7 linked regions of the Canis lupus familiaris genome follow. The protein of the gene in region 7 interacts with the protein of the main gene of each other region in a pairwise test. Links are inferred from orthologs where the notes say so. Each region holds a gene or a part of one and is shown on either strand. Other genes may lie near its edges. The genes, in order: NSG1, UPK1B, STX5, GALNT2, TMEM11, EMD and KASH5.

Region 1 (3,930 bases), on a different chromosome or scaffold from region 7:
CGGAGTCAGGAGAGAAAGCAGCCCATGCTGGCTGCCACCAAAAAGTGGTCCAAGGGCCACAAAACCCATAATCACACACCTGCCGTCTTCATTCCCTGATGTGTGTGCAGCTCTCCCGACGCTGAGGGGGGGCACGCCTAGCGTGACAGTCTGGGTACCGGCCGGGCTCTGGAGCAGCCTCTGTGCATCACCCTGTTGTCCTCTAGTCCCTACTGTCCCCTACTAGCTGTGTGACATGGAGCACACACCCTGCCACTCAGAACCTCAGACTCCTGGCTCGTGAAATGGGAGCAAGGCTGATCTCGCCCGGCTGCAGAGAGCAGACGGGAATCCACACGACGCTCGGCACCGTGGGAACCCGCTCAATACTCCAGCCGCCTGCGTTCGTCTGCATCTGCCACTAACACGCAGGGTGACCTTGGACAAGACCCTCAATTTCCACATCTGTAAATCGGAGGCAATAACGGTAAAGAAATTTAAGCACATGAACAAATGCCTGGCACGTTGCAAGCATCAACAAACGTCAGGTGAGACTGGCCCTGACGCTGCTGCCAGCTCCGTGACCCCTGTCACTGCAGCACCTCAGCCCTCAGTGCACATTCTCAGGACAGACTCCACTTATGACCCTGACTGCGTGACCTGATCCCACAAGCCCCATCAACTGGGGCAGGTGACATCGCCTCCCTGAACCCTGGCTGTGAGCAACACAGTGCTGTTGCTCGGGTTAAGTGAGGTCTTGTGTGAGAGAGAGGTCTTGTCCCAAGGAGAAGGGACCATGAGGCCCTGCCAGAAGCTTCTGTGTTTGTAAGGATTGTGGCCTTCAGCCGTGTGACCTTGGGCACATCCTGTGAACTCTCTGAGACTCCGTCTCCTCATCTGTGACCTCAGAAATCTTCTAGCCCAACCACTGGTTCCTGTGTCTGGAGCATCCCTGCCAGTTCCGTCCTTTGGTTTGAACACTCCCAGGGACGGGAGACTCATTACCTTTCAGACCTACCTAGGCTACTTCTCAGTGATCCGATTGTCCAGGATTTCACACCTGCCTGAAAGCCCCCTCCCTGGTATAAGCCAGACAATTCAGAAATGGAACAGACTGAGTGCAAAAGAGGAGGCTCAGGCTGAGCGGAGGGAGTCACCTGACAGAGGTGCTGCCTCGGGACACAGCGTTCCTGGCACAGGCCGCCACCACTCTGGGCCTGGGGCTGAGGTGGGAGGGGAAGGTGGGGGCAGTGGAGCGGGCTGAGCCGGCTCAGCAGGGAAAGGGGCTGCACAGGGGGAGGCAGCCCTGCCCCAGCCGTTCCCCCAGCCTCCTTTGGACCATCAGTGCCCCAGAGTGGCCCCACGTGGCCGGGTGCACAGGTGTGCTCCTCGGGGCCTCTTGCTGAACTGGAACACCTGCTGCCCCCGCCCCCCCACCCAAAACGGAGACAATAGAGTTGGAGGGATGGGAACCACTCCAGAGGACTAAGTCAAAGGGTCCATATGGGAATAAAGGAATCTTCCAGAAGGAAAGGCCGCATCGCGGCGGAGATATTCCCCTATCCCCATCCGGTGGTCAGCCGTGGCCAGCATGCCGAATAAAAGACAAAGACCTGAGTCAGAACCTCCTCACCAGGGCTAAACGAGACAATAAATGTAAATGCACTTCGGGGAATAGAAGGAGCTCAGTCGTGGCCGGGGTGGTTTTTAAGCAGCAGCAAGGTGGTCAGAGCGGGCGCCGCGTTTATTATTTTAGGTTTGAGTTCTACAATACCATTTTCCAGACTTTCAATCATTGCATTTACCTTTGTAAACGCTAACTCTTGAAAACATCCTTAATGGGCAGAAACCACTTGATCGGATGCTGTACTCGAGAAAAGAAGGGACTCTTGAAATCAGAAGAGAAAACCCCACTTCGGGGAAAGGATGCTGAATGGTTGGCCCCGGCTACACTCCCACCCAGCGCGCAGGGCGCTTACTTGAAGATTTCACAAAGGAACAAAGAGAGGAAGGAAGCCCGGGGAAGAGCAGACACCCTGCGGCATCCAGGGCCGGCCGGGGGCGCGGGGGCGGAGGATCGCGTCCAGCCCCCGGCGGGGTCCAGCCTGGGGCTCTCCGCGGCGAGGGGGCCGAGGGGGGCACGCCCCAGGCCGCCCCAGGCCCTCACCGCCTGCTGCCCGGGGCAGGGGCCCCTCTGTGACAGGACTCCCAAGAACACCGAGAGGCGCCCGTCGCCGACCGCGCTCCCCTGCCGGGACCGGTCTCCGCCCGGGGCCCCCGCCCGCCCCGGCGCACGGCCGCGCCCGAGACTCGGGGTGCGCCCGGCGGCGCGGGGTGCCGGGGCGGGGGCTCTCACCTTGTCCGGGGGCGGGAACTGCAGCTGATTGACATCGAGGGGCGTCATCAGGGGGATGGTGTCGAAGCCATCCTCCAGCAGCGGCTGCTTGGTGCCCTTCTCCGCGAAATTGTTCCCCAACTTCACCATGGTTCCGGGAGAGCCGAGGCTGCCGCCTGCGGGGGGGGGGGGTCACCGCGGGCTCCGGGCTCCGGGCCCCCGCCTGGCCTCGGGGCAAGAGGGGTGGGGGACGCGGGGGGAGGGGGAGGGCAGGGCAGGGCAGGGCAGGGCAGGGCGGGGGGGGCCCAGCCCCTACCCCCCGGGGACCCGCGGACCCGGGCTCAGGGGCGCCCCGCGGCGGCGGAGGGACCCGGCGGAGGCCCCGGCACTCACCCCGCCGGCTCGCAGGTCTGGCTCGGAGCGCGCGGCGAGGTCCGCGTCGGCCGCTCCCGCGCGCAGCAATGGCGGAGGCGGCGCCGCGCGGGGCCGGGCGGGGGAGCCGAGCGATTGGGCTCGCGGCCGCTCCCTCCCCCCGCTCGCCGCCTCCCCTCCCGCCGCCCCCGGGGCCGCCCGAGCGCTGAGTGCGCGCCTGTGGCGGCGGCCGCGGCAACTCCGCCCTGACGCAGCGCGCGCGGCCGCGCGAAGGGGCGCCCCGGGACCCGCGCCCGCCCGGACTGCGGGGGGCGCGCCGGGGCGGGGGGGAGCGGCCCCCGGGGTGGGGGCGGCGGGGACCCGGGGGGAGGAGGGACCCGGGGGAGGGGGGCGGGGCGGGGCGGGGGAGGCCAGGGACGGAGCGACCCCCGGGTGGGGGCGGCGGGGCTGGGGAGGGGCCCCCGCGTGAGCGCGGCCCTGCGGGGAGGGGGGAGGCGGGAGGGGTCGGGGCGGAGGGAGCGCGGGGCGCGCTGCAAGCGCTGGAGGGAGGGGGCAGCGGTTCCTTCCCGTTCGCCCGAGGAAGCGGGGGTCCCCTCCCTGCAGCCGCTGCCTGGAGCGTCCGGGTCGCAGAGGAGCGGCCCCGGTTAGGGCGTCACTTTGCGGACGCGGGGCCAGCCCCGGCTGCAGGACCCCAGATGAGGAAAGCGGGGCGCGGGGGCCAGGCAGGAGCTGGAGGCGGCCGCGGCCAGGGAATTGGGCCTTTGCAGGCACCTGTCTGTCTCGGCCGTGCCGGGGCCCAGAGTAGGTGTCCCCAGAGTCCCACTTCCGCACCCCAGCCTGTTCCCGCAGCCGCCTGCCTCTCCTGCTCCAGGACCGCAGGGAATGCACTGAGCCAGCCTCGCAGCCCAGGCCAGGAACCTGGCCCCGGGCACCCTGAATTCCAAGGCCCCAGGAGGGCCCCACCCCTTCCATACAAGAGATCATTCATTGATTCCCACCCGCCCCGAGCTCCGAGCTCCGAGCTCCGCAGCAGGGCTGCTGACAGCTCCCCTGGCAGCCTGGGGGAGGCAGGTGCCCCAGGTCCTGGCCCCCCTCCGGCCAGGTGCCGGCTGCGGGCATCTTCCTGGCAAAGGCCTTTATACCACAGCACGGATGCGGTGCCACTGCGTGTCTGTGTGTGGGGTTTCTTGTGTGGAACCCCAGCCCCTTGTGTGGAGCTTCCCTGCTGACGCTTGGATACTTCC
Region 2 (3,957 bases), on a different chromosome or scaffold from region 7:
TCAAGCCATATCTAAGTGGGCCCTGGAGGACTGAGGAGGAATAAGGCGTGTGATGAACGCACCGATGCCCCATGCAGGTCCCCCCCGAACAAGGGGGTGTGTGCTGCCCAGCTGCTGGGAGTGCTGACAACCCCAGCCTCCAGTGTCAGCCCCCTTCAGGGCTAGCCTCACCCTGAAAGCCACCTTCCCAGGGTGACCTCTATTTAAGGACTGATCACAGAGGGGCCCCATGCAGAACAACCGTGGCAGGCCAACATCTCCTGGAGCTTCCCGGCTGGAGGGAGGGGGTTGCCCGAGACAGTCCCACCTGCATGGCCACTTGTCTTCTCTCTCTGCCCAATCCTATTTCTTTCCTCTCCCTTCCAAGGGTATTAATCACAGGGCCATTCCCTAATAAATATACTGCACACTAAACTTTGTCTCGGGGTCTGCTTCCTAAAGAACCTAACCTGTTACAGAGATGATCCAGACCCAAGAAAATGCCTGCATCTGTTGATGAAAGCACTCAACAAATTCTAATATTGCTGCCATCACCCATCCCGAACTGTAGGCTAAATAAACTACTGTGCGCATAAACCATGATATGTTACGCAGACATTAACAGAAATGTTGGTGCTGGGTATGAAGTGGTGGCTCCAGTGGATGGGAAGGGAAGGGGAGGGAAGGAAGAGAAGGGAAGACAAAAGGAGGGGAAGAGAGGGGAGGGCAGAGGTGGGGAGGGGAGAAGAGGGAGGGGCAGTATTACTCTCATTGGTCTTTGGACCACCTATGGTGTATTAATTGGGCAATTGCTCTCCCCCCTAAATGTAGCATATGCAAGTTATGAAAACCGAAACTAGACGTGACCCTGGACAGACAGACATGTACCAGCATGACTCTGAGCAATCAGGACAATAGATAGGCCTTTAAGGGCACAAAAGCAAAAATAAGGATCAAATCATAAAATTTTTTTTAAAAAAATCAAATCAAAACAAAAACAAAAGCCCAGACCTAGGAGAAATCCAGAGGAGTGATGATGAGCTAAGGCCTGTCAAGGTGCTGCCATCTGTCAGAATCACACATTCCAAAGTAGCAGAAATCTCCAGTCGGGAAACTTCCTGTTACTTCCGGCCTCAGTGAGGCAAGCTCAGGCGGCATCAGGTTCAGCTCATGTGAGATGCCTCCTCCCAATCACAGACCATTCCTCCCTGGTCCAGGAGGTTCAGAGAATTGGTGCTGGGTAGAAAAGCACCTCAGGCCAGAGCAGCGTGCAGAGAGGGCCAGGACAGCCCAAGGAGGAGGAGGAGGAAGAGGAGGAGGAGGAGGAGAAGCAGGTGAGTAGTCGGATCTCACTCTGCAGGGAAGCCAACTGCACTCTCAATGGTTGGGTTGCTTTCCTGGGAGGTGAGATGGGGCCTGAAAGGGCGAGGGGAAGAAGATAATTTCCTCCTGAAGAGATCCATCATTTTTTGTAACTTAGACTATTATGACGATTTTGTTCTCTTTTACTTTAAATGTACAAATTGCCTTCTCAAACCTTTTGAAATTGTCCAGTTCTCAGAACTGAAATGAAGGATCTGAGAGTGTTATTCACCCATCCTAATTTTACCCTCCAATTTCCTGACCGAACGACCAAGAAAATCCAAGAACCCTGGGAAAACCTATGTCTCCTGATTAAAGTTTCAGACAGACCCCCGTGGACCCCAATTTCCTTGTGAAGTCAGAGAAGCAAAAAGAAAATTTAAGGAAATGGGTCATGTTCTTTCTTAATAATGTAGTAGAAAGTTCCCTGGTCATCTTGTCTGAAATCATTTGATCCTGCCTACTTGTAATGGAATATGTGAGGCAATTTACTCATGGTTTCTTCTCTGCAAACTCTGTTTAAGAAATGTGGCAGTTGAAATAAGTCAACAAATTAGCTTTATCTATGTAATGTTATTTTTACATAATTTATTTTTACTCTTCACCAATTAGTTGATCTACAGGGTCCACAGATCCTAAATATATTTTTCATTGTAACAACATTTCTACATGTAATACGAATTGAGTTTCCAATAATGCTAGTATTAGTTTATGTTTATAGGTTTAAAACTCCACTTATAACTAGTTTCAAAGATTTTGAACACATTTGGAATTTCTTTAATTTCAATGTCCTTTTTTAAATTAAAGACAATGTTGACCAATCATTTCTTCCCTGAATACAGTTGGCTAACCAGAAGAAGAAAGAATTCATTTAGATCTTATACACACACACACACACACACACACACACACACATATTTTCAAATCTTGTAAAGAAACAGTTTTCCTTTTGATTAGTTCTCCTTAATGAGGAAGAAATTTTCTCATTTTGCTTTTTTTTTTTTTCCTCATTTTGCTTTCTGCTGTAACAGCCTTTTTTGCTTTCTGCTACAATAGGCTGAAAAACCAAATCACCAATTTCTTTTTTAACTACCTGGAAAGAATCATAGACTTGTAAATCCAAAAGGGAATTTACACACCATTTAGTCGAGAAAAACAAATGAAATCTCAGAGTCTCTTGTTGACCTCTCCTGCTTACATTCTTACCAAGAGCAAACACCGATGAGTCCCTGCAGGCTGCCCACACCCCTGATGTTCCCTAACTGGGGCAAAGGCTGAATTCATAAAGAGGCGCCCTAATCTTACCTCCCCAAGGAGTCTCCATAGCATTCCTGCCTTGGGGCCGGGCATCCAGCTGGCATTGCCCGCCCCTGAGGTCCTCACTTGCCTGAGAATGAGCCACTGCTTCTTAGTCCTGACTTAAGGTGGGTGAATGACTCTGAGGTCAGCTGGCAAACATCAAGAGTCCAGAGCAGTGCCATCCAACAGGACTCTCTGTGATGATGGAAATGTTCTATACAATAACCACCAACTGCAAGTGCTATTGAGCACTTTAAATGGGGCTATTGCAACCAAAGGATTGAATTTTATTTTTTATTATTTTATTGGAGTTCAGTTTGCCAATGTGTAGCATAACCCAGTGCTCATCCCATCAAGGATTGAATTTTATTTTATTTTATTTTGAATTTTAAATCTTATGTAATTGAACTAGTTTGAATGAAAATAGCTACATGTGGCTACTAGTTACCATATTACTGAGAGCAGGTTTAGAGCTTGAAAGGGAGAAAAACCAATGGATGCTGTGAGCCCTGGGTGTCATGGCCATGGGAACAAGCACTGCTTGTCACCTTTCCCAGGGACTCATCCCTTCCCTAAATATAAGCAGACCAGCAATGGCTCTGATCTAAAATCCCCACACCCACCTTTCTTCTCCCCTCCAAGTCGAACAACTGTCTGCCTTTGTTCTGAGTTTCAAGGTCGGGGCTAAGGGAACAGCACAGTGTGTTTCTTGTTTCTTCCTCTCCTATTTCTCTCTCTCTCTTTTTTTCCTTTGTTAATCCAAATTTCTCTAGCATGAGCTAGAGTTTGAGGTGTGGTTTGCGTGTGCTCTGGCCCAACAAACTTGGGTGAGGAAAAGAGGTAATGAACTTGAAAAAATGAGCTCATGCTTGATGGGAGAGACTCACTTCTTTTTCTTCTGCTTTGAAAGGGTTTGTTTAGTGAGCAATGGTTTTTAGACCCATTCAATGTGTCTGGAAACATCAACACTACGGATATGAGTAATTTTTATAAGAAAACAAATGGAATGAGGGCACAAGGAAAAAAAAATAAAACCTAGCCTTTTAAAATGTTTGCCCTCCTCAGAGCAAAGGAGTTCCTGGGATGTTGAGCAATTGGAGTATATCATCATGGTGCCAGGCCACTGGGCAGTTTTCCACAGGGTGGGGCTCACAGAGGCTATTCTTGAATGTGGAAAACACTTTCGGGCAAGCTGCATACTTTCAGTCAAGGGTGATAACATTTCTGAAGTGGACAGCCACTAATTGGCTCTCTTAACAGCCCTCTACCAATCTCACCTTTTAAAATTCACCTCACCCCATTTGCTTGTTTTCTATC
Region 3 (3,500 bases), on a different chromosome or scaffold from region 7:
GGGGAGCAGAGGATGCCTTGGTCGGGTGTAGAAAGCCTGGCTGTGCTACTTTACCTCATTGTGTGTGATCTTGGACAATTCACAGCTTTTACTCCTTTGCAATAGTAATTCTTGACAGGAATTCTGTATATAAGAAGTATTTTGTTGGTGCTTCCTGGAAACTACAGAGACTTTGACTCTTCCCTTCACCTGACTGCTGCCACAGGTGCTTTGTTGGTCAGCATGCTCCAGGTGTGAAATTTTGGTCTTCAGAGTAGTTCTGTGGCCATGTGCCTGGCCTCCTGAGGTGGAGTTGGGCTGTAGGATGAAGGGGGTAGTCAGCTAAGCATCTGCCTTCGGCTCAGGTCATGATCCCAAGGTCTTGGGATCAGGCCCTGCATTGGGCTCCCTGCTCTGCCTGCAGATCCCTCTGCTTGTGCTCTCTTTTTCTTTTTTGTCAAATAGATAAGTAAAATCTTTAAAAAAAAAAACAAAAAGGAGGATCCCAAAAACCGTGGCTCAGCAGTTTAGCGCCTGCCTTCAGCCCAGGGCATGATCCTGGGGTCCTGGGATCAAGTCTCACATCGGACTCCTTGCATGGAGCCTGCTTTTCCTTCTGCATGTGTCTCTGCCTCTCTCTCTCTGTGTCTCTCATGAATAAATAAATAAAATCTTAAAAAAAAAAAAAAAAAAAGAATGAGACCGTATTTCTCCTTTTCTGGCTCTACTCTGCAGGGACTGAACCAGAGCAAGGTCCAGAGCTTGGAACCTCCCAGCAGGCCCTTCTGGTCTGACTTTGAAATACCCACACCCCTGCTCGTAACTTCCACTCTGTCCTCTGTGCCAGAGGTGTCCATGTGGGAGAGACATTGGCTGAGGACCCTTTTGTTAATAGTTTTTCTTTGGCTCTCCCTAGGACATCAATAGCCTCAACAAACAAATTGCCCAGCTTCAGGATTTTGTGAGAGCCAAAGGCAGCCAGAGCGGCCGGCACCTGCAAACCCATTCCAACACCATTGTGGTTTCCTTGCAGGTGGGACCTGGGGTCCGTAGAGGGGGAGGCAGAAGGGAGAAAGGTGTTGTCTCCTTTGGCCGACCCTCTCTTCTTTTCTTCTAGTCAAAACTGGCCTCGATGTCCAATGACTTCAAATCAGTTTTAGAAGTGAGGACAGAGGTAAGAAGAATCTATGTAAGGGGTAGGACTCGGGATAAGGGCCCAAGGGGAAATTGGGGAAGAAACAAGTGCAGGGGTGAGGTTAACAGGGTCCTAGGCCAACAGGAGAGTCTCTCTCTAACACCTGCTTTCCAGAGGCCTCAGGACCTTTGCATTTCTCCCCCAACCCCAGAACCTGAAGCAGCAGAGGAATCGGCGGGAACAGTTCTCCCGGGCACCTGTGTCAGCCCTGCCCCTTGCCCCCAACCACCTGGGTAAGTCACTGGCAGTGCAGGGAGCCCAGAGGGGTAAGGCTCAGTTACTTTGGCTGTGACGGCATCCTCTAATCCTGTGAGGGCAGGGCTTGCGTAGGAGAATGGACAGCCAAGGGAGATGCCAGGATTTTTCAGAGATCAAACCTGATTGCTGGCATTCATGACCTGCACTTCATCTCCCACATTCTCACTGTTGGGGCTGAATTCAATCATGGGCAGTAGAATGACAGTTTCCAGTATTCTTTTAATTCATTCAGGTTCTCTCATCTAATTTTCACCACCACCTCTGAGAAGGCAACTATTACTATGCTCCATTTTATAGGGGGAGGAAACTGAGCTCTAGAGAGGTTAGATGACTTGTCCAGGGTCACAAGGCTAGTAAGTGGCAGAGCTGGGATTCAAATCCAGGCCATGTGGGCTTTGAACCTTTCAACCACTAGAAAGTGCTTTTTCTTTCTTTCTCCAGGGGGCAGTGCTGTGGTTTTGGGAGCAGAGTCCCGTGCTTCTGGGGATGTGGCCATTGACATGATGGACTCTCGGACCAGCCAGCAACTACAACTCATCGATGAGCAGGTACCTGGGCTCTGAACTGGGGAGGAGATGCTCCTCTGTCCTCCTCTGCAGGCCACCAGCAAGTGTTTGAAATGTACCTTGAGTAGAGTGGCAACCTGGGAGGGTCCTAAAGAGGCAGGCCCTGCCCTGAGGAAGCTCCTAGCGCTGACGTGTGCTCTCCTTCGAAGGATTCCTACATCCAGAGTCGGGCAGACACTATGCAGAACATCGAGTCCACAATTGTCGAGCTGGGCTCCATCTTTCAGCAGTTGGCCCACATGGTCAAGGAGCAGGAAGAAACCATTCAGAGGTAAGACTCTCTCTCTCTCATCCTAGACAGAAGAGCCTTCTCTTCCCTGTGGGGTGGCATCTTAAATGTTCCCAGGGACAGCTGGATGTCCTTTGGAAGAGTAGAGTGAGTCTGGCCCACCCAGGGAATCCATTCAACAAGTGTTGATGGAGCGCCTGTTTTTTGTCAGGTGCTATTCTAGGTACAGGGGGTATAGCAGTTAGTAGATGAGTGAAGTCTCTGTAGTTTAGGTGGGGAATTCAGTAGGGTGGGTGAGGACAGCTGTTCAAAAGAGTTGACATGAACTTTTCAGGTAGTGATAAGCTCTACACTGAGAATTACAGTGGGATGATGTGTGAAGAAAGGGGCTAAGTGATTCTTCTTGATGGACTCCTAGGCTTCTTCCATATTTTGGCTGTTGTAGATAATGCAGGGAACATAGGGGCGCAGATATCTTTCTGAGTTAGTATTCTCTGTTCCTTTGGATAAATGCCCAGAAGTGGAATTACTGGATCATGTGATTAATTCTATTTTTAATTTTTTGAGGAACCTCTACACTGTTTCCTATAGTCACTGCAGCAATTTGCATTCCCCCTAACAGTGCGTGAAGGTTCCTTTTCTCCACATCATCACCAGCACGTGTTGTTTGTTTGTTTCTTTCCTTTTTTTTTTTTTTGATACTAGCCATTCTGAAAGGTGTGAGGTGGTACCTCATACCTCATTTTTTTTTTTTTTTTAAGATTTTATTTTATTAACTCATGAGAGACACAGAGCGAGCGAGAGAGAGGCAGAGGGGGAAGCAGGCTCCACGCAGGGAGCCCGATGTGGGACTGGATCCCAGGTCTCCAGGATCAGGCCCTGGGCTGCAGGCGGCGCTAAACCGCTGCGCCACCGGGGCTGCCCCCTCATTGTGGTTTCATTTGTACTTCCCTGATGATTGCTTTTTTTTTTTTTTTTTAATTTTTATTTATTTATGATAGTCACAGAGAGAGAAAGAGAGAGGCAGAGACACAGGCAGAGGGAGAAGCAGGCTCCATGCACCGGGAGCCTGATGTGGGATTCGATCCCGGGTCTCCAGGATCGCGCCCTGGGCCAAAGGCAGGCGCCAAACCGCTGCGCCACCCAGGGATCCCCCTGATGATTGCTTTTGAGCATCTTTTCATGTGCTTGTTGGCTGCGTGGATGTCTTCTTTGGAAAAATATCTATTTAGACCTTCTGCCCATTTTGCAATTGGATTTATTTGTTTGCTTG
Region 4 (4,254 bases), on a different chromosome or scaffold from region 7:
GGAGGGACTGGCCGTCTTTTATTTCTGTAGGATCTTTAATTTGCCCTTTGTACTTCCTTCTTTCCCTTCTCTGCTAGGCCTCCAAAGGGCATTACCCTCTCTTTATTTATTTGACTTCTCCCAGAAGCAAGGCTTCTTCAAGGCTGCCACCTCCTGTCCCATTCTCTTTCAAACCTCTTCCCTGTTAAGTACCTGACCTGTGTTCAGTTTTAGTTTTTGGTGTTGGACTTTCTCTTTGTAGAGGCTTTAAGCCGGGACTTCACTTAAGTCCTTGGCAGCAGTGCAAGGAGCGCTGCTGGAATCCGATGTCTTTTCTTTCTTCTACTTAAGAAGTAATTAGAAGTTCAGTTCCCGGCATTCCCTCTCCTAGCGGTGCCGAAGGCTTGTTTGTGTTTGTATTTTGGTGAGTAGAGATTCAGATTCAGGCAGCTGCCTTATCCTCCAGACGGGGAAGCTCCTGAAATCGCGTTCGAAACAACCAGCGCCAAGTAACAGTTCTTTCTTTCTTAGGAGCACGGGGAAACTTTGCGTGTGGCAAGGGCATCGTCAAGGTTACAGAGATCTGTTACGAGACAGGTGTATTTTCCCGAGATGTTTATGTGCTAACTCTTCTTTCTTCTCTTAAGAAAGCAACACATTCAAAGGAAAAGATCGAAAAAACAAAATACGTCGCATCCCTTCTTCCTCTTTCGCGTTTCTTAACAACAAAATTAAACAAAAATAATCCTGCTACTGAGGGCTGTCCATTTTCTCGGAAAAACGTTCCCTTGACCGCTCGCATTCTACCCGTGGGCCCCCACCTCTGACTAAATAAATACCTACAATCGACAACTGGGGACCAGGGATGTTTTGCTGCGAGATTAGAAAGAAAACTGCGGCGAGCAGGGGCGAAGTCGGGTCCAGCAGGCGGGTTTGCACCAAAGCACTCAGGCGGGCGGGCCGGGAAGGGCGAGCCCGAGGGGTCCCGAGGCCCGGGAGCGGGGCGCCCACGGCCTCCCCGCCGGGCCCCGGTGCGTGTGCACGTGTGTGTGTGCACGTGCGCGCGCTCCGCCGGGCCGGGCCGGGCCGGGCCGCCACCTGTCACTCACGGGGGCGGCCGGGCCGCGGCGGGGAGGACGCAGAGGGGCGGGGCGGGGCGGGGCGGGGCCGGGCCCGCGGACGCCCTCCCGCCGGAGCCCCGCGTGCTGCCGCCATGGAGACGCGGCAATCCCCTCCTCCGGCCCGCGTCCCGGCCCCCGCAGCCGCCGCCGATTGGTCGCCCTTTGCTCCCTGACCCGCTCGCCGCCTCCGAGGCCGCCGCTTCCTGCTCGGGCGCCGCGCCGCGCTCCCGGCCCGGGGCGGAGCTCGGGCGCCGGGCGCGCGCCGCCTTCGCCGCCGCCGAGCAGCCGCCCGCGCCGGAGGAGGAGCCGCCGCCGCGCCCTTCCCCTTCCTCCGCTCCTCCCCCGGCCCGCTCCCCGCCCGCGCCGGCCCCAGGCAGCACTCGCGAGCAGCGGCGGCCGCGGCCGGCGGCCGAGAGGGGAGAATGCGGCGGCGCTCGCGGATGCTGCTCTGCTTCGCCTTCCTGTGGGTGCTGGGCATCGCCTACTACATGTACTCGGGGGGCGGCTCCGCGCTGGCCGCGGGCGCGGGCGGCGGCGCCGGCAGGAAGGTGAGTGGGGCGCCCTGCCCGGGCCCGACCGGCCCCCGAGCCCCCGGCTCCCCTTTCCCCGCCAGCCCCTCGCGCGCCGACGCGCCCCCTGCCCCGCTGCGGACCCCGCGCCGGGACGAGGCGGGCCGGGCGCCGACGGGGGCTCCCGCCCCTCCGCTCTCCTCCGCTCGGGCCCCCGCTCCCCTCCCCCGGCCTCCCGGCCGGCCCCCCGGGGCAGGGGCGCACCGGGCCCTCGGCGCTCGGCCGGCTCGGGAGACGGCGGCCCTGCGGGACCCCGGACGCCTTCCTCGGCGCCCCCCTGCCCCTCCGTGCGCGTCCTCCGGGTAGACGTCCCCCTCTGTCTGCTCCGCGTAACTGAAGTTGAGTCTGGTCCGGCCGCCGGGAGCCCCGTCCCCTGCGGTGGGAAGTTTAGCGGCGGGGGTGTTGGGACGCACAAAAGGGGGTGGGGAGGAGAGGAGGGAGAGGCGGCCGCCTCTCCGAAGCGCCGTGTGCGGGAGAGAGGAGTCCAAGTTTCTTTCCAGCCCTTTGATACAAGCCGCTGCAGAGCCTCCCCCCTTTCCCCCTTGTCAGCGCGCGGCGGGAGTTGGGGGGCAGCTCGGGGTCAGCTCGGGGTCTCGCCGCTTTCTCTGCCCATCGCCCCTGGGGGCGGCGGCGGCGGCGGCGGGTGCAGCCAGCCGGGTGCCGGAGAGAAGGGGCTCCCTGGGCGGGTGTGAGCCGAGGGCCCGCGCGCCCCTCGCCCGGAGTGGGGCCGGCCACAGACACCCCCGCCCCCCGACTTCGAGGCTCTGGCCCGCACGGCCCGACCCTCCTGGCCCCGCCTGGCCCGGGCGCCCTGAGCGTGCCTTTCCCAGCCCCGCTGCCTGGTTACGCGGGGGTGGTCCCTGTCCTATGGGCGTGCTTTGAGCAGGCTCCCGGGGGCCGAGGGGCTAGGCCCCGGGCACCGCATAAGCCCCCCGACAGCCGGGCGTTTTCGGGAGGAAATGGGGCGGCCAGGGAAGCCCCGACGGCGGGGTCCTGCGGCCGCGCGCGCTGCCGGCGGAGGGCTTTGGCTGGGCACATGCCGCCCGCGGGGTTGTGGCGCTTAGCGGGCAAGAGGCTTTGAAAGCAGCGCTATCTTTTCCAAAATCCTGTAACCCTCATTACTGTGGCGTTTAGTGTCACCGCGAACCCAGGAAATTCTGAGTTCATGGAGGTGGACCGCGGGTTGGGCTGGAACTAGCGAATGGTATTCTGAAACAAGCCAGACGGGACCGACCGTGCATGAACAGACTTTTTAGCCTTCAAGTCAGACAGGTGAAGTCAACGCTGAGGTTTGGCCGCCTCTGAGGTTTCCCCCCTTGTTTGTGTCATTGATTCACTGATTCATTCATTCTCACCTGAAGGTATTAGATGGAGGTAGGTATCTTGTGTGAGTCTTGGGAAATTGCATGGGTTTGCTTTATCTGGAGGGAACAGAAATGGAAAGTCTTTCCATGTGCTGAATTGGCCTAGCTTAGTTCTGCGCCAACAGGGTGCTCTTAGCCCAATTTCTTTTTCTTTTTTTAATGCAGAGAACTGCTGTAGATGTACCTGAAGTCTCTTGTTTATTCTTGAATGGTGAAGAGCAGTGCATCCAGTAGGAGCACTGCAGCCCTTTAAAAACTATGCTCATGTTAAACTGAAATTCTTTTCAAAACTTTGCTTTGCAATAAACTAGGCCTTGGCAGGTCTGCAAGGTCTGGTATGCTGGTGGGACCTGGCAAAGCCTTCTGCCTTTCATGCAAAAGAAAAACAAACAAATAAGCCACACTGGTATTTCTCTTTCCTTGGGTTTAGTACTTTCCTTAGTACCTGTGATTAGAAACAGCAACAGTGTGTCCTTAGCATCCAGAGAGGCTGCTTTCTCCCTGGTGGCCTTCAGCCGCTGGTTTTTGAGGGGTATCCTTAATTGAAAGAAAAAAATCCAAGAACTCTTTGTGACCTAGTGGCAATGGGAAGGTATGGAGATCAGGTAGGAAAAAAATGTGTGGGAAATGAACAATTATACATGGATTGGTGATTTGGGATTCTATTCTTTCTGTCAACGAACCATAAAATTTAATCCTAGCCCTTAGAATGGTTTAGTGATTTGTCAGTTGAGGAAGAGGTGTGTAAATGCAATAGCTTTTGAAATCACAGCAAAAGACTCATTAACTTAGGGTTGTGGATGCTGGTATAAAAGTCGAAGCTGCGAGACCATTCTGGAGGGCCTGAATAGAACCCCGCTGTCCTGAATTTCCTAATCTAGAGTGTAAAACTGGGTAGTCTTCCTTCCTCCTGAATTGTTTCCATGGATTTAAAGACTAAAGAGTCTTCAAATTTAGTTCATCCTTATGATGAAAGGAAATCTGTTGGGTTTTTTGGGGGGGGGGGGCTTGCAAAGTATGGACTTAAAAAAGATCATGTGGTATGCAAGTGAAGGCAGAATGTAAATAATAGCTATAGTTTTTTAGATGCAAGTGGAATTAATGTTTCTTCTCTTGATTCATACTATGCTATAATAAGTCAAAGCTCTTGTTCTGTATTTAGCACGTTTCGCTCTGCCCTGATGTTTTTCACGGGGTACCAGGCTTCAGTATTAGGCTTTG
Region 5 (2,609 bases), on a different chromosome or scaffold from region 7:
GGTGTGTAACATGCCCTTTGCTATGAGGGAGGGGCTCAGGAGCTGGCTCCTGTGGAATGGGAGATCTGGGAGAGGCAGTGGGCTTGAACTCCAGGTCACATCAGGAACAGCTTCGAGGCTTTGAAAAAAATACAGATGTTCCACCTGTGTGTCCTAAATGAGAATCTTTGGACAGGAGGTCCCAGGCCTCCACTCTACATGGACCCATGTGGAAACCCAGTGACCTCTAGGCCTCGTCACCTGATCCTACCATGTCCCCAAATAGCATTTAGCAGTGCTGGCCTTGAAAAGGAGGCTGGCATGAGCTGTGCGACTGCTCTGGAAGGGGTCTGGGCCTGCCTTGCTCAAAGGACTGTTCTTGCTGCGAATGGTGATCCCAGGTCGCAACAAGGAACAGGGCGGCACCCATGGTGCCCACGGCTACCACGTGCCAGCTACCACCTGGAGCTGTCTGCAGCAGCTGTAGGCAGTAATGGAAAGAGAAGACACCTGAAGTTGAAATTCTCATAATTTTAATGGTCAATAGCTTCTGGTTGGCTCTGGATGGTACAGTTAAACGATATACTTAAAGACCTCCCCCCACCCCCACCCCGCAAGCGCATTCACACCCCCTCAGTAGCGTTGCCATCAACATTCCATTGCCTGGTCAGACTTCCACACCTCAGACCCCCTGTGGGTTATGGAAATCCACATCTTAGTGTAATGAGTTGAAAAACCCTTGGTACACCTGTGACCTGTGTTATTTTTTTTAAAATAACAAATATTAAACCAAACACCTTCCCAGGCTCCGCTGCCTCACAGAGCAAAAAAATGTTACTGTGGCAATCTGAATACTCTTGTCTCTCCTGGGCTGGGCTGTTTGCTCCTCTGCCTGTCCTACTGAAATCATACGGCGTAGAGTTCGTAAATCTTCTTTACACAGTACACCAGGGCGGCCAGTGCTATCGTGTTGTGCAGTCTCTTTCTGTGCAAGTCGTCCTTCCGGACCAGCACCACCGGGGTAGAGGAAGTGAGTGTGTGCAGGGGCAGGCGGGACAGTTTATAGGCGTCGTACTCCACTTGGTACTTGCAGCAGGGGTCAAACTGCCAGGAGATCCCGTAGAGGGTGCAGCAGGCCAGGCTGAGCACGCCTGCGGGCAGGGAGATGTAGTGGGAGTAATCTAAGGGCAGCGCCAATGGGGTGAAGAGGCAGGCGGTACCCGCTAGCACGGTGGTCTTGTGCAGGCAATTGCCCACAGTGATCCAGCGGGCCGTCTCATCACCGATGCGCGTGGGCTCGATCACGATGTACTTGTACTGGGCTTCCAGGGCCTGCTCCAGCTCATATTCAAACTGGTCTTGGGCATTCTCCCCATTGTAGATCTCATGCACAATGTAACAGTCTGTGGCCGACAAGCTCACCCTTGGGGAGTTGGGGGGGGTGGGAGGAGAAAGAGGAGACAGTTAGGCTGAGAAGCACTCACCGCACTTCTGTGCTGAGACCCTGGGGAGAAGTCCATGGCTGAAGTCTGGGGCCTCAGGCTCACCAGAGAGTCTGAGGGCACCATGTCTCGCTTATGTTATCTTCCTTGGAACCCAATACACAAGGTGACTCAGTTAAAAAAAATTTTTTTTCTGGAAGAGTAAAATACTGAAATGTAGAAAGACAAAGGAAAAGGAGTACCCAGATCTCTAAGATGACTGCCTGCAAGGTGTACCAAACCTGGCGGTTAACTCAAGGCAGTGGAGTGAAGTTTGCAAAGGAGCCCAGAGGAAGAATGTTTTGCCTGGCATGCTGTTAACACAGAGGCCTAAGGTCGGAAAATGAAACGTGGTCTTGGTTAACCAGAGCAGGTGGAGGACGAATCTTCGATGGAAACCAACAGACCCATGGCTGGCTGTGCCAAACACTCTACCCTCTGCAAGGCTCAAAAGTAGTCATCCCTGGCCTGCAGAACACAAGACAGATAGGGTTGTCTTTTCCTTGGATGACAGAGAACAAAACTCCTCTGGCCACCATGGGAGGACAAGCTGCAGAAAACACCCGAGGCCAGCAGCCCCAAGAACACCAGCACACAGCTTAGGAAAAGAAGCCCTCTGATTCAACTAGGAAAAGACAATGCCTCAAGAACAGGGACAATGGAATTTAGTGTAAGAGGGACCTTAAGGGCCCCCAGAGGCTCCCACCCATACTGACCCTGTACCACCAGGACTCTGTATGGATTGCCAGGAAACGTTTCTCTCTCACACAAAAGAAACACTGTTCACAAAGACCCACTTCACGTGGCTGAGCTGATCCAACTCCTAGGACTAGGGATGGGTGACCTGACCCTCACCGGTGGAAGATAAATCCGGAGGCCAGAGACTCAGCTGGCCAGCGAGTGAGCTGTGACCATGGGCCATGGGGGCATTTTAGGTGGTTTCGGGATTCTATTTGAGGCCTCTTCAGTGCAAACTTTGCATCCAAAGCAGAATCTTTCCACACCCCTGATGGGCAAACCTAAATATAGACCTGTACACTCCTTGTCATTTCCATTTGGCTTGTTTCAGCCTGTCCAGATCCTTCTGAATTTCCATACCGTCATCCAACATATACCGTTTCTCCTAGTTTTGTGTTCTTAGTTCATCTG
Region 6 (3,923 bases), on a different chromosome or scaffold from region 7:
CAGGCTCTCCACGGCCTTGCAACCTCGCGCGCTCACCCGCGAGTACGCCGGGGCCCCCTGTGCTCGGCTCACCCCGGGGCCCACCCAGGCCCAAGCGCGCAGAGCCGGCCCAGCAGGTCGTCGGGGGCTTGAAGGCTCCCCGCCCCCCCAGGCTGCCACGGGGACGCCCTGGACAGCAGAGGAAAGCCCCGACGCCCCAGGTGGCTGGCGCGGGGGTCGGGCGCACGCTGGCCGCCGCCCGCACGCCGGGCTCGGCCCCCTGCCAGCGCCCACGGGCACGCCCAGTGCCTTGCAAGGATGCCCGCTCCTGGGGTGCCCGCGGCCTCCTGGCCCAGTGCCCCATTTCCTCCCGGGCGCAGTGGGAGGGAGGGAGGGAGGGAGGGTGGGAGGCGCTGGGGACCTGCGGGACGACGGGCGCAGGTGGAGAGCGGAGCGGGGCGGGGTGGCACCGGGGGCCGAGGCGGCTGCTGCCCGGGCCTGGGCCCCGCGGCCCCGAGGGCCCGCTCTCGGGATCGGGGTCCCTTCGCGCTGCGGCGGAGGCGCGGCCGGCCCGGGGCGGCCGGGGAGCGCGGGGTGCGGAGGGGGCAGGGGGCTGCGGGGACCGTCGGAGCCCGCGTGACTCAGGGAGCGCGAGCCGCGCCCAGCGCGTCAGTCCTGCGCCGCTTTCCTGTCCTGGCCGGTTTCTGCCGGTTCGACTTGCGTAGGTCCCCACCCCCGCCCTCCCGACCCCGACACGCCAGCCGGTGACGCCTCGACCGCCCGCCCCGCCCCGCCCCCACGTCGCGGCGAGCCCACGCTCGTCCCCGCCCCCGCAAGCCCGACTCCTCGCTCGAGCCCCGCCCCTGCGCGCCAGCGCGTGACGCCCCTCGGCCGGCGGGCCCCGCCCCTCCGGAGCGCGGCCCCGCCCCGCCGCCGCCGCCAGCCTATCCCGCCCGCTTGCGACGTCTGACGTCATGACGCCCGCCCCGCCCGCTCCCACGGTCCCCCGCTCCGCGCCGGCGCCGCCGGCCCGGCCCCGCCCCGCCCCGCGCGCAGTCCGCAGAGCCCGCGGCCGTGACGCGAGCGTGACGCAGGCGTGACGCGAGCGCTGCCGCTCCCGAGACGCTCGCGCCGCCCCCGCCGTGCTCGGAGGCAGCGGTAGCTGGGCCCGCGTCGCCAGGCCCGGGCCCCCCCAGCTCCCCGCCGCCCGCCGCCCGCCAGGCCCGGGCCCCCGGGTCCCCGCCGCCCGCCATGGACGACTACGCGGTCCTGTCGGACGCCGAGCTGGCCGCCGTGCTGCGCCAGTACAACATCCCGCACGGGCCTGTCGTGGGTACGCGGCGGCGAGCGCGCCCCCTCCCCGCCCCCCCCCCGGGGTCCGGCCCGCGGCCCTGACGCCCCGCGTCCCGTGTCTGGCCAGGTTCCACTCGCAAGCTCTACGAAAAGAAGATCTTCGAGTACGAGACCCAGAGGCGGAGGCTGTCGCCCCCCAACTCGTCCGCCTTCAATTTCTCCTATCGGTTCTCGGGTGAGGCCCCCGCCCCGGATCTCCACCTGGCCTCCCAGGGGGACGGGGTTTGGGCGACGGGGGGCACGGGGTCCGGAGGGTGTGGCAGGGGCGGTGGCTGGGAGGGGCACAGGAAGAAGGGAGGGGAGCCGGGGGCAAATGGTCCCGCCCCCCCCCCCTCAGACTTAGATTCGGCATCCGTGGACTCGGATATGTACGATCTGCCCAAGAAAGAAGACGCCTTGCTTTACCAGAGCAAGGGTAAGGCTGGGCGGGCGGGGGGGGGGCACCCTGGGGGGGGCACCCTGTCACCCTTACCCCCTCCCTCAGGGAGCCTGGTGTTGGGGGGACCTGGGATCTCAAGCCCGTCATCCTCAGCAGCCCCAGAGGGGAGAGACGGTGCCACAGGCTCCCACGTGGGACTGAGATTAGGGCCAGGTGGGCGCAGCCACTGTGCACCTTGCTACCGCTCTCCCCCCCTTCCCAAGGCTACGGCGATGACTACTACGAGGAGAGCTACCTGAGCACCAGGACCTACGGGGACCCTGAGCCTGTGGGCTCCTCCAAGGGCTTCCGCCAGCCATCAGCTTCACTCGCAGATTCGGACACCTTTCACCACCAGGTGAGTTGGCTGCCGAGCACCTGCATACAACCTGTGGGGGTCATAGCTGGGCTTGGACAAAACCTGGACGGGGGGGGGGGGGGGGGGGGGCGCACGCGGTAGGCCCTGTGCTTCCCGAGAGGCAAGGTAAGTGCACACCTCCCTTGGCAGGGCCGTCCTTGGGGGAGTGTCAGACCTAACACTAGGGCACCTGGGACGCCGTGCACCCTGACCTGGGATCTAGGTTTGAGATCTTTCTCAGACCCCCCGGGGCAGAAAGTAAGGTGCAGGCGGCCAGGATACCTGTCGAGTTGTGGAGCGGGTGACAAAGCCCTACCGGGCTAAGGCTGGTAACTCAGGAGGGTTTTGGAGGGAACAGGGTCCGGGTGTTTCAGCTAGGCTAGTTTGCAGTGAGGACGGGACAGGCTACAGGCTGCTGACTCTGCTGGCCAGTTCCCCTCTCCCTGACTGTTACCTGCAGGTGCGCGATGACAGTCTCTTCTCTTCTGAAGAGGACAGCAAGGACAGGTGAGTGGCAGGAAGGGCCAGGCAGCGGGTGGTTCTGGGCGCAGGCCCCCTGGCTCACCTGCTGTCCTCTGCCTCAGGGAACGCTCCGGGTATGGCCGGGACAGCGCCTACCAGAACATCGTGCACTACCGCCCTGTTTCCAACATCTCCAGAAGCTCCCTGGGCCTGTCCTATTATCCCACACCCTCTTCCACCTCTCCCATATCCTCATCTTCATCTTCCCCCACTTCGTGGCTCACCCGTCGTGCTATCCGGCCAGAAAAGCAGGCCCCTGGGGCTGGTCTGGGCCAGGACCGCCAGGTCCCACTCTGGGGCCAGCTGCTCCTGTTCCTGGTCTTTGCTGCCTTCCTGCTCTTTGTTTACTACTCCATGCAGGCTGAGGATGGCAATCCCTTCTGGACGGAGCCCTGAGGGGCTGGCTTCGTGGCCAGCTGTTCCCGGAAGTCCTGGCTGACTGCCTTAGTAGTGTCTGCTGGGGGAGGGGGTGGGGGCTTTTCTGTGTGTTCTAGCTTCGGTGTGCTGGGCTTGGCCCAGGGCAGTGCTTGCTCCCCTGCCTCGTTCTGCCCAGGAGGTGGCAAGCCCAGGCCCTCCGCGGCATGGCGGGCCCGGGCAGGCCTTCCTCTGGAGTCTCCTGGTCCTGCTTGCCTCTGATCCAGGGCCCAGGAGGGTAAGACCCTTCTCCTGGAGAGGAGAACATGGTTGTTGTCATTGCATGCCTCCTGTCTGTTGTCACCTCGTCGGGGGGGATTAACCCAGGCCACCCTGACTTTGTTTTCGTGGACACAATAAAAAGACCATTTATTTTTAACGTGTGGGCTCTCTTTGCTGGGAAGGACTTGGGCTGGGAGCCTCCAGGCCTTGGGTCTCCACGAGCAACATCTGGCTTTGTTCGCTCTCCCTTCTTGCTTTGGGGTTGGGGTAGGGATCGCATGCTACCCACGGGCACGTTTGTGCTTTACTGGTAGGGTTTGCTCCCTGACTCGTGACCCAAAGCTGCTGTAACTAGGCAAAGAAGCGTGCCCCCACGGGATGCAGAGAGCTCCCCCATAAATGCAGGTGAGGGTGCGTGCACAGCACTGGCTACAGATGTTCCGACAGGGAGGAGCCGACAGCCGGCCTCAGTACCCAAGGGCAGGTGGACAGGGAGGAAATGCGGCGAGTGGCGGGCTCCTCCCGGGCGGCCGCTTGTCCGGGGGGGGGGAGAGGCCCACAGGATGCCGCATCACCCCTGTGTAAATCCCACCCCTCACCTGCCTATGTTCTTGCTTATCTCCAGGTTTTCTGTGCGGGAGGCGAGCACCTCCACCT
Region 7 (3,500 bases):
TTATTTATTTGACAGAGAGAGAGAGAGAGTGCGCAGTAGGCAGAGCAGCAGGCAAAGGGAAAGGGAGACGGAGAAGCAGGCTCTCTGTTGAGTGGGGAGCCAGATGTGGGGCTCGATCCCAGGACCCTGAGATCATGACCTGAGCCAAAGGCAGACGCCTAACTGACTGAGCCACCCAGAAGCCCCTTGTAGCCACATTTAAAAGAAAAAGAAACAGGCAAAATGAACAAGAATAATTTTATTCAACCTAATATATCCAAAGTGGTATCCTTTCAGCATGTAATTAATATAAAAATGTATTGGAGATATTCCTTTGTTTTTTCATACCAGGGCTTCAAGATATGGTGTGTAGTTTATACTAACAGGGTGACTTAAGTCTCACCACAGTTCAAGCACTCAAGAACAGTGTGTGGCACGTGCCTGCCCTGTTTGGTTAGTGCTGCCCTAGAACCATGTATGACTCCAAGGAGCTCAGTTATGGTCCTTGATTGTTTGGATGGATGTACACCCAAATGGTGTGAAAGCCAGCTTCAGAAGTAAGAGGAAGCGGGCAGCCCGGGTGGCTCAGCGGTTTAGCGCCACCTTCAGGGCATGATCCTGGAGACCCAGGATCAAGTCCCATGTCGGGCTCCCTGCATGGAGCCTGCTTCTCCCTCTGCCTGTGTCTCTGCCTCTCTCTTTCTCTCTGTGTCTCTCATGAATAAATAAATAAAATCTTAAAAAAAAAAAAAGAAGTAAGAGGAAGGGAGACACTGGGTGGTCCTCTCTAAAATTCACCTGCTAAGTGGGAGAGCTTATTGTGATGGGGGAAGAGGCTCCCACCCTAGGGGAGAGACAGGACTGCTTTCTTTGAGGCTCCCAGGGTCCAGCAGCAGGGCTTGCATCTTTTCTCCAGGCTACGGGCCTGGACTCTGGCCTCAGGAGGCTTTCCAGAGGGGAAGGTAGGAGGGAGACACCTGGGTGCAGGGACCAAGGGCAGGTGGACCAAGAGACTTGCCACAGCAGCTTCATGGACACCAGCAGAGGGCGTGCAGCCACCAAGGATCCCGTGGGCCAGGGCCAAGCCAACTGGGGAGGCTTCTGAAGGAAAGGGAAGGACACACCCGGGAGAAATGGAGACAGACCCAGGGAGGGAGGGGGCAGAGATGCTGAGACTGTCAGGCAAGGAGAGAGAAGGCTCGGGGAACAGAGAGTCACCGAGATAATGGGAAAAGAAGCCCAGAGACAGAGAAAACAGAGAGGCAGGGCACCGGAAAGAGAGAGATGGGGAGGAAGATGGAGAGAAGGAGCCAGAGAGAAAACTAGAGAAAGGCAGAGACAGAGAGAGATAGAGACACTGAGGACGGAAACAAAGAAAAGAGAACAGGAGAAGCAGTGACATGTTCCTGGGGGACCCCAGGGAGGGACTGAAGACCCGTATGGATCCCCTGAGCCAGACAGTCCCCGGTTGACTCTGGCTCCACTCTCCCTAGCTGGGCAGCCCCAGGGAGTGACCTCTCAGGCTGTGATTCTCACTGGGCCTCAGGGTGCTCCTTGGTTACCTGGGGAGCACAATGAGAGGAGCAAACAGGAGAGTTCAGGTAAAGCTCCAGCAGGGGCCCTGGTGTCCCCCAACTGTGGGTTCCTTCCCCCTTTTCCTAAGAGCATGGGTTCAAACCTGAAGGGGCTGAATTTTAGCTCTCTACAAAGAATCCCCTGAGACTAAAAAGAATTAGAGCAATCATGGACACCTGGTTGGCTCAGTCGGTAGAGCATGCGAGTCTTGATTTCAGGGCTGTGAGTTCAAGTTTCACATTGGGGGGCAGGGAGCATACTTAAAAAAAAAAAGAAGAAGAAGAAGAAGAAGGATTTGTATGTTGAACAGGTGACCTGGGGCAAATTCCTAACTTCTCTGTGCGAGTCTCCTCCTCTGTAAAATGGGGCTAATGATAACAGCCACCAGGGTCCATACAAAACCCCCAGAAGAGGAAAGGCATCCACTAACTGCTAAATAAATGTTCAGTTCTGTTATTTAGCCTCTACCACATGCCAGACCTTCAGCCCAGGGCCTTTCTAGATTTTTTTTTTTAAGAATTTTATTTATTTATTTGACAGGGAGCGAGCACAAACGGAACATGGCAGGCAGAGGGAGAGGGAGAAGCAGATTCCCCTCTAAGCAGAGAGCTTGATGAGGTCTGGATTCCAGGATCCGGGGAATCATGACCTGAGCTGAAGGCAGACACTTCACTGATGGAGCCGCCCAGGCTCCCCAGCCTTTCTAGATTTTACCTCACTTCCTCTCTGGGAGGGAGGAAACAGCCCCATTTTCCAGAGGAAGAAACTGAGGCTCGGAGAGTCTATGCTCCTTACTAGGGTTGCCTCTTGGGTCTGTCAGACTGCTGCCCATGCGAGACCTGCTGCCATACCCGGTTGTTCAAGGGCAGGACAGGGAACCTTGAAAGTCACCTCTAGTTCCAAAGACGCAGAGTCCAGTAACTCCTGGGGTGGAGGATCTCCTCCTGTATCTTGGAGCATTTATTGAGTGCTTACTATATGCCGGTACAATAGATACAGAGATGAACAAACAGTCCTGGGGACATGCACATTGTGTATCTCTGTTGGGAGGGCTGTTCCCATACACAAACCTACTGCTCCCAGTCCTGGTAAGGGAGGGAGGGGGATCAATACCCACTCATTTTACTGGTGGGGAAACTGAGGCTCCAAAGGGAGAATTGACCTGCACACAGTTGCGTAGCTGGGCTCTGAGCTCCTAACCACTCCCTGACTGCCTACCCTGCCTAGATCATTCACCCCTCTCATCTCAGGCCCGGGCTGTGGGCACCAATGACGCCAGCCTCGCCTGGGGATTCAGGTAGGAGAGAGACCCGGCCCCCTAGACAGGAGATGCAGCCGGCAGAATTGATCCAGGCTGCCCACGCCTTATTGGATTGTTCCTGGCTCCTGGGCTCCCCTTCACCCTCAGCTCCTCCCGGAATCCTCTCTTTGCCCTCCTCCGCCCCTAGCCCCCTCTGAGCAGAGCCTGGGCGGCAGGAGAAGAGAGGAGGAAAGGGCAATCTCAGAGCTTTTGTCATTCTGGGTTCCCAAGTGGCTTGGACACAAAGGATTAGACAGCAGGGGGCACCTCCTGGCCTGAAAGATGGGACCCGCATCCCCAGGGTGGGGAGCTAGGAGGCCACTCAAAGACCCTTACATTGCTGTCCCCACTAGCCCCAACTCCAGGTAGTTGGAGTTCCTTCCCTGCTGCAGGAGCACAGAACCTAAAGCCATTTCTCTCCTGCCTTCTCATGGGTGGGCAATTCCTCTTGTCTCCCCAGTGTACCTCTGGGACCAGCTGGAGGAGGGGAGCCTGGGGACGCTGCTGAGCTTGGAGGAGCAAATACTCAACTCTATGTTCGAAGCTTGTGACACCCAAAGGACAGGTTGGGAGGCTGCAAGGGGGGGCCAGGCAGCCCTGGGCCTGTAGACACACAGAATAATAAGGGATTGGGGGCAGCTGGAAA

Evidence for each region.
Region 1: the proteins of KASH5 (region 7) and NSG1 interact in binary tests that used the Homo sapiens proteins (3 or more experiments, as listed by UniProt). The two-hybrid records come from large-scale screens. The link is inferred for Canis lupus familiaris from reciprocal best matches to the Homo sapiens genes KASH5 and NSG1.
Region 2: the proteins of KASH5 (region 7) and UPK1B interact in binary tests that used the Homo sapiens proteins (3 or more experiments, as listed by UniProt). The two-hybrid records come from large-scale screens. The link is inferred for Canis lupus familiaris from reciprocal best matches to the Homo sapiens genes KASH5 and UPK1B.
Region 3: the proteins of KASH5 (region 7) and STX5 interact in binary tests that used the Homo sapiens proteins (3 or more experiments, as listed by UniProt). The two-hybrid records come from large-scale screens. The link is inferred for Canis lupus familiaris from reciprocal best matches to the Homo sapiens genes KASH5 and STX5.
Region 4: the proteins of KASH5 (region 7) and GALNT2 interact in binary tests that used the Homo sapiens proteins (3 or more experiments, as listed by UniProt). The two-hybrid records come from large-scale screens. The link is inferred for Canis lupus familiaris from reciprocal best matches to the Homo sapiens genes KASH5 and GALNT2.
Region 5: the proteins of KASH5 (region 7) and TMEM11 interact in binary tests that used the Homo sapiens proteins (3 or more experiments, as listed by UniProt). The two-hybrid records come from large-scale screens. The link is inferred for Canis lupus familiaris from reciprocal best matches to the Homo sapiens genes KASH5 and TMEM11.
Region 6: the proteins of KASH5 (region 7) and EMD interact in binary tests that used the Homo sapiens proteins (3 or more experiments, as listed by UniProt). The two-hybrid records come from large-scale screens. The link is inferred for Canis lupus familiaris from reciprocal best matches to the Homo sapiens genes KASH5 and EMD.

Annotation. Positions count from the first base shown.
Region 1 is NC_049224.1:70,378,274-70,382,203, reverse strand, and holds the start of NSG1 (neuronal vesicle trafficking-associated protein 1), read right to left. Parts: upstream 2,801-3,930; 5' UTR 2,708-2,800; intron 2,491-2,707; 5' UTR 2,465-2,490; coding exon 2,336-2,464; intron 1-2,335.
Region 2 is NC_049254.1:23,511,391-23,515,347, forward strand, and holds the start of UPK1B (uroplakin-1b), read left to right. Parts: upstream 1-1,157; 5' UTR 1,158-1,313; intron 1,314-3,957. UniProt on the Homo sapiens protein: Component of the asymmetric unit membrane (AUM); a highly specialized biomembrane elaborated by terminally differentiated urothelial cells.
Region 3 is NC_049239.1:54,388,737-54,392,236, forward strand, and holds part of STX5 (syntaxin-5), read left to right. Parts: intron 1-895; coding exon 896-1,012; intron 1,013-1,096; coding exon 1,097-1,153; intron 1,154-1,325; coding exon 1,326-1,407; intron 1,408-1,873; coding exon 1,874-1,980; intron 1,981-2,147; coding exon 2,148-2,269; intron 2,270-3,500. UniProt on the Homo sapiens protein: Mediates endoplasmic reticulum to Golgi transport.
Region 4 is NC_049225.1:9,621,604-9,625,857, reverse strand, and holds the start of GALNT2 (polypeptide N-acetylgalactosaminyltransferase 2), read left to right. Parts: upstream 1-1,454; 5' UTR 1,455-1,522; coding exon 1,523-1,648; intron 1,649-4,254. UniProt on the Homo sapiens protein: Catalyzes the initial reaction in O-linked oligosaccharide biosynthesis, the transfer of an N-acetyl-D-galactosamine residue to a serine or threonine residue on the protein receptor.
Region 5 is NC_049226.1:42,883,548-42,886,156, forward strand, and holds the end of TMEM11 (transmembrane protein 11, mitochondrial), read right to left. Parts: intron 1,403-2,609; coding exon 886-1,402; 3' UTR 501-885; downstream 1-500. UniProt on the Homo sapiens protein: Plays a role in mitochondrial morphogenesis.
Region 6 is NC_049260.1:123,237,323-123,241,245, reverse strand, and holds EMD (emerin), read left to right. Parts: upstream 1-1,141; 5' UTR 1,142-1,230; coding exon 1,231-1,312; intron 1,313-1,399; coding exon 1,400-1,507; intron 1,508-1,669; coding exon 1,670-1,747; intron 1,748-1,974; coding exon 1,975-2,108; intron 2,109-2,541; coding exon 2,542-2,615; intron 2,616-2,692; coding exon 2,693-3,026; 3' UTR 3,027-3,423; downstream 3,424-3,923. Other genes in the region: collagen alpha-1(I) chain-like, read left to right, coding at 1-358, 421-747. UniProt on the Homo sapiens protein: Stabilizes and promotes the formation of a nuclear actin cortical network. Stimulates actin polymerization in vitro by binding and stabilizing the pointed end of growing filaments. Inhibits beta-catenin activity by preventing its accumulation in the nucleus.
Region 7 is NC_049222.1:107,767,635-107,771,134, reverse strand, and holds part of KASH5 (protein KASH5), read left to right. Parts: intron 1-2,808; exon of another isoform or gene 2,809-2,823; coding exon of another isoform or gene 2,824-2,851; intron 2,852-3,314; coding exon 3,315-3,419; intron 3,420-3,500. UniProt on the Homo sapiens protein: As a component of the LINC (LInker of Nucleoskeleton and Cytoskeleton) complex, involved in the connection between the nuclear lamina and the cytoskeleton.